Linked DNA regions of Saccharomyces cerevisiae S288C. The gene in region 1 interacts genetically with each later gene. Each region holds a gene or a part of one and is shown in the gene's direction. Other genes may lie near its edges.

Evidence for each region.
Region 2: mutations in DFR1 (region 1) and MSH4 together harm fitness more than expected from each alone (negative genetic interaction), as found in Saccharomyces cerevisiae (2 studies listed by BioGRID).

The regions. Positions count from the first base shown.
Region 1 is NC_001147.6:778,835-782,187, forward strand, and holds DFR1 (dihydrofolate reductase), read left to right. Parts: upstream 1-2,071; coding exon 2,072-2,707; downstream 2,708-3,353. Other genes in the region: 60S ribosomal protein eL33 RPL33B, read right to left, coding at 1-25, 553-571; IRC13 (Irc13p), read left to right, coding at 1,036-1,350; oxysterol-binding protein related protein HES1, read left to right, coding at 3,160-3,353. UniProt on the Saccharomyces cerevisiae protein: Key enzyme in folate metabolism. Catalyzes an essential reaction for de novo glycine and purine synthesis, and for DNA precursor synthesis.
Region 2 is NC_001138.5:133,902-139,047, reverse strand, and holds MSH4 (MutS family protein MSH4), read left to right. Parts: upstream 1-1,890; coding exon 1,891-4,527; downstream 4,528-5,146. Other genes in the region: YFL002W-B (gag protein), read right to left, coding at 1-844; VTC2 (vacuolar transporter chaperone), read right to left, coding at 4,752-5,146. UniProt on the Saccharomyces cerevisiae protein: Involved in meiotic recombination. Facilitate crossovers between homologs during meiosis.

The DNA.
Region 1 (3,353 bases):
GATAAGTGCTTACCTTTAACGTATACTATCAAAATAAAAGTAGAATAGAATTTGTCAATTCATAAATAAAGCTGTTAGTAAGGTTGTACTTTCATGAGCACGTTGCAGAGTGAAATAATTCGACATTTCATTGAGCCCATGATGGAAAGGGACGCAGTTATGTCAGAAGCGACCTCAAATGACATATATATACGCTATCTTAACATTTCTGGCACGCGCAGTTTCATGTAAAAATGCATTTCCTGGTGCCTCCTACTACTTGGTGGAATTTCATATCAGGTAGGTTATCTCCTTCTTCTTTCCCTAGAAGGTAAACTGATCATTTATAATACCTTTCTCTTTTGAATTTTTTTCCTATGAAACTTGTTCATTCTGTTCTTCTCATCGCAAAACCATGCACTATTTAATATATTCATACTCTTTAATAACAGTTGTCCAACAAGTGCGGGCCCCAACTATAACACATGTTTTATCGAATATCAATAATGTCTTCTAAGCTCGAATCAGCCTATTCCACGGCAACATTCATCATATAGTAATTTCATAACATACGTCTATGGGATTCAGCCATTTTATCTATGATTTATCTGGTTCTACTTTTGCAAAGGTTGTTTAAGCAAAGAAACTGTTTTCGGACCTTTATCTGCTATAATAATCGTTTTTTCAAAATCTGGTGCTAAGCGTAACTGGTGCAAGCCATAGGTAGCCTCACTACGGTACAGAGGTTACTTTGAAAGCAAGAACCCTTCACATGTCACACCTGCACGCAGAGGCATGGAGAGGCCAGCACAAACCACCATGGATGGGTAAAGTCATAGAAGGAAAAGCACATGGTACCCAGGCAGAGTTCCCCCCAGCAGTGACGCTCTGTTGCACTGGCCGGAAGAAGATGGTGTAAAGAGAAGCGGTCTCCAGGCAGAACAAATTCTGATTGCCCGTCTACCGGTAAAGCTTTCTCACAATATACCGTACGTTTCAAAAAAAATATTGATTCTTTTTTTATAAAAATATCAGTAGTATGTATGGGCTGATTGTATGGGTTTATACAGGCCGTCAAAATTTTTTCACCCCCCCATACCCCACATACCTTTTACTATTAACCCTGATTTTTTTTCTTTTCACATACAGCGCCTTAAGGCGAAGGCAAATCCTGAAAATTTTCTCATTTGCTTTCCCCCACCAGACATATATAAAGGCTTTGTATTCTGCTGTCAATTAGATTTAGTACATCTTTTCTCTTATGTTTTCTTCTTGTTTCTACTTAAAATCTGTGTCGACGTACTTCAGTATGTAATATACCCCAAACATTTTACCCACAAAAAACCAGGATTTGAAAACTATAGCATCTAAAAGTCTTAGGTACTAGAGTTTTCATTTCGGAGCAGGCTTTTTGAAAAATTTAATTCAACCATTGCAGCAGCTTTTGACTAACACATTCTACAGTAGGATCATTTCTATAGGAATCGTCACTCTTTGACTCTTCAAAAGAGCCACTGAATCCAACTTGGTTGATGAGTCCCATAACCTTTGTACCCCAGAGTGAGAAACCGAAATTGAATCTAAATTAGCTTGGTCCGCAATCCTTAGCGGTTCGGCCATCTATAATTTTGAATAAAAATTTTGCTTTGCCGTTGCATTTGTAGTTTTTTCCTTTGGAAGTAATTACAATATTTTATGGCGCGATGATCTTGACCCATCCTATGTACTTCTTTTTTGAAGGGATAGGGCTCTATGGGTGGGTACAAATGGCAGTCTGACAAGTTAACCACTTTTTTCCTTTTCTAAATTGTTTAAAACCAAAGGTTTGGTTTTCAGTTAAGAAATTGGATTAGTTGGTGTGTAAGTATAATTAAATGTAGTCTTGGTTAGCTTAATGTATAGGTTCTTGATAGTATGACTCCACCTAAAATTCGTCAAGAGCGACGGATGCGAAAACAAAAAAATCGCTTTGCATCCTTACGTGCGTGAGATGGCATCGCTGGCCAAAGGGAAACGTTTCATTATTTTCTGTAGTTAACATTATGCTTTGCATGATAATAAGAGAAATTGAAGAGCGCAACGAACTACGAGCATGGCTGGAGGAAAGATTCCTATTGTAGGAATTGTGGCATGTTTACAGCCGGAGATGGGGATAGGATTTCGTGGAGGTCTACCATGGAGGTTGCCCAGTGAAATGAAGTATTTCAGACAGGTCACTTCATTGACGAAAGATCCAAACAAAAAAAATGCTTTGATAATGGGAAGGAAGACATGGGAATCCATACCGCCCAAGTTTCGCCCACTGCCCAATAGAATGAATGTCATTATATCGAGAAGCTTCAAGGACGATTTTGTCCACGATAAAGAGAGATCAATAGTCCAAAGTAATTCATTGGCAAACGCAATAATGAACCTAGAAAGCAATTTTAAGGAGCATCTGGAAAGAATCTACGTGATTGGGGGTGGCGAAGTTTATAGTCAAATCTTCTCCATTACAGATCATTGGCTCATCACGAAAATAAATCCATTAGATAAAAACGCAACTCCTGCAATGGACACTTTCCTTGATGCGAAGAAATTGGAAGAAGTATTTAGCGAGCAAGATCCGGCCCAGCTGAAAGAATTTCTTCCCCCTAAAGTAGAGTTGCCCGAAACAGACTGTGATCAACGCTACTCGCTGGAAGAAAAAGGTTATTGCTTCGAATTCACTCTATACAATCGTAAATGAAACCTCTCCGCCCGTATATTTTTTTTAATATGTTAAATAGTGATAGAACTGATAAGCCTCATTTTCTTTTATTGGGCTCCAAGACGCGAACTGTTCGTAGGGTAACCGTTTGACACCTAAACGACCTTTCAGCCTCACCTGCAGTATTTCTTCAACAACGCCTGTCGCTATGTTAAATAATAGCAATCGTTTGTGATCACCATTGTCGAATTTGACGCGCTTAAACAAAAACCATTGTTTTGGCCTCGTTCCCTGCATTCAACAAAAGAGCAAGGTATGCCGTCAAACAGTCGTTAAAAGAGAAGGTTTATAAACTATCTTGTTTTGTACTTTGCTGTCCCGGATCCAGTTGGGTCTTCTTTTCAACCTGTCTGAGTCCGATCTTTCTTTCCCTACTTGAAGCTCCATATATCTAAGTCATCTAAGTGTATCCTGCTAGATTACAAACGAAAATGTCTCAACACGCAAGCTCATCTTCTTGGACTTCTTTTTTGAAATCGATAAGTTCGTTCAACGGAGATCTATCGTCTTTGTCTGCACCACCGTTTATTCTTTCTCCCACTTCCTTAACAGAGTTTTCTCAGTATTGGGCTGAACATCCAGCTTTATTTCTGGAGCCTTCGTTGATTGATGGTGAAAACTACAA
Region 2 (5,146 bases), on another chromosome or scaffold:
ATGTATCAGCAGATGTACTTCCGTCGTACTCAAGGTTGGCAAGAGCTATCCAATCCTTTAATTCTTGATTGTTAGTTTGCATTTTGGACACACTTTTACAAAGGACTGTAAGGATGTCAGCATAATTAATTTCTAAAATTTGTTTTACCCATGTTGGCAATAAATGAAATGGGGCAAATGCTTGGAAGGTATTGTATATATACGCATGTTCTTCATAAGTCATTTGACTTTTGATTTCACCCTGGTCATTTGGAATGATGTCACCGAGATTAGAGTTCTTCAAAAATCTGATGTAAAATTTAACCCATGTAGAAAAGTTTTCTTCTGATGTTAAAGTGTGTGGTGGTAAGACGTTATTTCTCACCTTTGTCTCAGCTTGAGGTACTTCAGAGTGTTGATTCTGTGAATCGATTGGATCAGGTGAGGAAGTACTCAGTGGTGGGATATACTGTGGCAACGGATAGTGTGGGTCCGGTTGATAATACGCAGGTGACGTTTGATAATGTGAACACGTCATCATAGACGGTTGTTGGTAATGTGCCCAGTTAGAGGCCATAGCTTTGTTTGGGGTCATCATGCCGTGCTGTTGGTACTGTCCATTCTGTGGAGGTGGTACTGAAGCAGGTTGAGGAGAGACATGATGATGGTTCTCTGGAACAGCTGATGTCCCAGGTGTTGTCTCTTGTTGAGAATTAACCTTAGTGGAATCTCTATCAAATTCCGGTAAATTGGAAGCTGAAACGGCTAACGGATCTTGATTTGATGGGACTTCCTTAGAAGTAACCGAAGCATAGGCGCTACCATGTAGAGAATGTGGATTTTGATGTAATTGTTGGGATTCCATTTTTGATAAGGCAATAATATTAGGTATGTAGATATACTAGAAGTTCTCCTCGAGGATTTAGGAATCCATAAAAGGGAATCTGCAATTCTACACAATTCTATAAATATTATTATCATCATTTTATATGTTAATATTCATTGATCCTATTACATTATCAATCCTTGCGTTTCAGCTTCCACTAATTTAGATGACTATTTCTCATCATTTGCGTCATCTTCTAACACCGTATATGATAATATACTAGTAACGTAAATACTAGTTAGTAGATGATAGTTGATTTTTATTCCAACATATACAGAATATGCTAGAAGTTCTCCTCGAGGATTTAGGAATTCTCAAAATGGAATCCATATTTCTACATACTAATGTTAGACTATTCCGTTTTATATGTTTCATTATCCTATTACATTATCAATCCTTGCATTTCAGCTTCTTCTAACTTCGATGACAGCTTCTCATAACTTATGTCATCATCTAACACTGTATATGATAATATATTGAATAACTATTAGTTGATAGATGATAGTGGATTTTTATTCCAGAGGTTTGCGATGCCTTTGAGAAATCAGGATTGTTTTGGTATGGGATGACATTGTTTTACGTAGTCTATTCCGTTTTAAGAGTTGCAGAACTCAAAAGTGACTGACTCCATGGCCAAGTTGGTTAAGGCGTGCGACTGTTAATCGCAAGATCGTGAGTTCAACCCTCACTGGGGTCGTTTTTTTATTCAAAATCAGTTTCTAAGATTTAGATTTTATTGTATCATATCTTTTTCCATACTGAAATCGATTAAAGTTTTTATGTGTTGCATCTGTATGAGAGCAAAATCTTATTTAGTCTCCTCTTTTCTGCTATGAACCAGTTTATTATTTTTTTTTAATTCGCGTCTTCATTTCCTTTTCAAATCCCGAACGTACAGCTTTCATACATATAAGGCATCAACGAAGAATAGCAAAAGAGCAGTTGGATTTTACTTAAAGTGAAACATATAAAAATAACTAGTTATAGCATTGAAATCTGTAGCTGATCAACGCAAACTATATGCAATGAGTGAATCTAATCTATCTAGTTTTATCAGTACAAATTATTTCAATTTAAGGTCGGCGGCTAATTCTTCAAACTCTATTTCGAAGCCAAGTACGAAAAAGAGTATCAGGAACCAAAAATCGCCAACTAACATAAGTAGTTGGGCTCTCAAAAAGAAAACGCTACAAATAGCAGAGACAACATGGGAAAACAATGAAAAAGATTCAACACATAGCCATTACTTAATGACTGGATCAATGGCCTCTAGGACCGCAACCTCCTTAAGTCGATACAGCACCAACGCTTCACTCCTCGGTCCTAGTATTGACTGTGTTCTTTGTTGCATATACGAAGTGCCAAGAGACATAAGTACGCGGATTGGGTTATGTATTATCAACTGTAACACGGGACAGATGTATCTTTCAGATTTCATGGATTCACAAATTTACATTCGTGTAGTTCATAAACTCCAAATTTACCAACCTACGGAAATACTGATTCCAAGCAGTTCTCTAGCTCCAACAGTATCAAAATTAGCGACAATGATAAAATTTAATGTGGCCGAGACAGTTAAAATTGAAGAGGGTTCACGAAAGTGCTTCAATAGCCAAGATGGACTGGCGGCGATTACAAAGTATTTAATGGATGATACAAAAAAGGACTTGAAAATCGAGGAGATTATAGATAAAACGTTTGCTCTTTGTGCTGCATCTGCTGCGATAAGCTACATGGAAGAGATTATATCCAAAAGCAGCCGAAATTTGAATGCGTTTCGAAAACTACGTATACAGTTTGAAGGAACAGAAAATACAATGCTGATTGATTCTAAAACCGTCAGAGGTTTAGAACTTGTAGAAAATAAATTGGATAAGAATGGCATATCACTATGGAAGTTCTTGGATACCACGTCCACTAAAATGGGACAAAGATCACTTCGGAACAGTATACTGCAGCCATTAACTGATAGGGGCAGTATCGAAATGAGACTAGAGGCCCTAGAAGAATTGAAAGCCAATGATGACCTTCTACAAAAATTAAGGCTAGAAATGAAATCATTGCCTGATCTAGATAAGTTATTTTCAAGGTTATTATGCATTAATCATTCTGCAATAAAACCTGACCAAAGAATTAATTACGTTTTGTTGCTAAAGGAAACTTTACAAAGCGTGAAGTCATTGAAAGACGCACTTAATGATCAGTTAATTCAAAGCCGTTTAATTAGCGAGACCAAAAAAATATTCAATAATGACGCAATTATGGAAATTGAAAAATTAATTAATAGTTGTATAAATGAAGACTGTGTCTGGGCATCCTCAGCTATACAACTACTTAACCAACGTTCATATGCTGTGAAAAGTGATTCCAATGGGCTTTTGGATGTTTCTAGACAAATCTACAAAGAGGTAAAAGAGGAATTTTTTCGTGAGGTAGAAGATCTTACCGCTAAAAACAAAATCAATTTAGATCATAATTACGATTCTGCACGAGGCTTTTATCTCAGAATAAAAAGACAGGAATTTACCGATGACGTCGCTACACTTCCAGACGTATTCATTTCAAGAACAATAAAAAAAAATTATATTGAATGTACAACCCTAAATATAATAAAAAAAAATGCGAGGTTGAAGGAAGTTATGGAAGAGATTTTACTTTTAAGTGAAGAGACAGTTGATGAACTGCTCGATAAAATTGCAACCCATATTTCTGAACTATTTATGATTGCAGAAGCAGTGGCTATCCTGGATTTGGTTTGTTCATTCACATATAATTTGAAAGAAAATAATTACACAATACCGATTTTTACAAACAATCTACTAATTCGAGATTCAAGACACCCACTACTTGAAAAGGTACTAAAAAATTTTGTCCCTAACACCATATCAAGTACAAAACATAGCTCCAGCTTACAAATCATAACCGGATGCAACATGAGTGGAAAATCTGTTTATTTAAAACAAGTTGCCCTTATTTGCATAATGGCCCAAATGGGATCAGGTATACCGGCACTTTATGGGTCTTTTCCTGTCTTTAAACGTCTACATGCAAGAGTCTGCAATGACAGTATGGAATTAACCTCATCAAATTTTGGTTTTGAAATGAAAGAAATGGCTTACTTTTTAGATGACATAAATACAGAAACACTGTTAATTTTAGATGAACTTGGTCGTGGTTCAAGCATCGCTGATGGGTTTTGTGTGTCTTTGGCAGTAACTGAACATTTACTTCGAACGGAGGCAACGGTATTTCTTTCTACACACTTCCAGGACATTCCTAAAATAATGTCTAAGAAGCCAGCAGTTTCCCATCTTCATATGGATGCAGTCCTTCTCAATGACAATTCTGTCAAAATGAATTATCAGTTGACCCAGAAATCTGTCGCAATAGAGAATAGTGGAATAAGGGTGGTAAAAAAAATATTCAACCCGGATATTATTGCAGAAGCGTACAATATCCATTCGCTTTTGAAAATTGCAAAAGCAAGGACTGAAAACGAAGATTCAAATGGCGTTGTTGATCAAAAGACCATAAACCAAATGAAGAGAATACACAATCTTGTAGCGATATTGAAAGAATGTGCAGGAAATGAAAAAGAGCCCTTGACTTTAGGGAAATTAAAAGAAATAAACTCCGACTTCATCGAAAATTTTGAAGAATAATTTGGCTTTTCCGCTTAGCTTAAAACTATAATCCATTATTTCTGTACAGAGTTATCAAAAACCGGAGAAAATGATGTTTATGTAAATGCATTGATATTTATGAATGATTTAAAACTTCCCCTTAAATGTGATTTCTAAAAGTAAGCAATTGTTAGCAGATGATAATTTTTTGCTACACATTACAAACATAAAAACACATGGTCTCAGTAGATAGAGTACATATTCTAATCACTGCTTGGCCCCATTAACTTGAATAGATAATTTTGAAGTGGCCTTAATACTTCTGGTATTCTTTCAGGAACTTCTAAATTCTGTATTTGCAACTCTTGACGAGACTTTGCTGCATTTCTAAACGCCATAACAAAATTAACCACTAAAGTGACAAATAAAACTATAGAAACCAAAACTGGACCAAGTGGTGCATCTAGATGTTGACCGCTTCTTTGTTGAATAATATCAACTCTTTTCATATAAATGGAATAGGACCATAAAGCACAGAATATCGTTAGACCAAAATATACGTATGCCATGTAGTTAGCCAAAGTGGGGTATTCGGCTTTCTTCACAGAATTATAAATTGAGAACGTCAAAACACTCAATAAACTGGTGACACTTAACC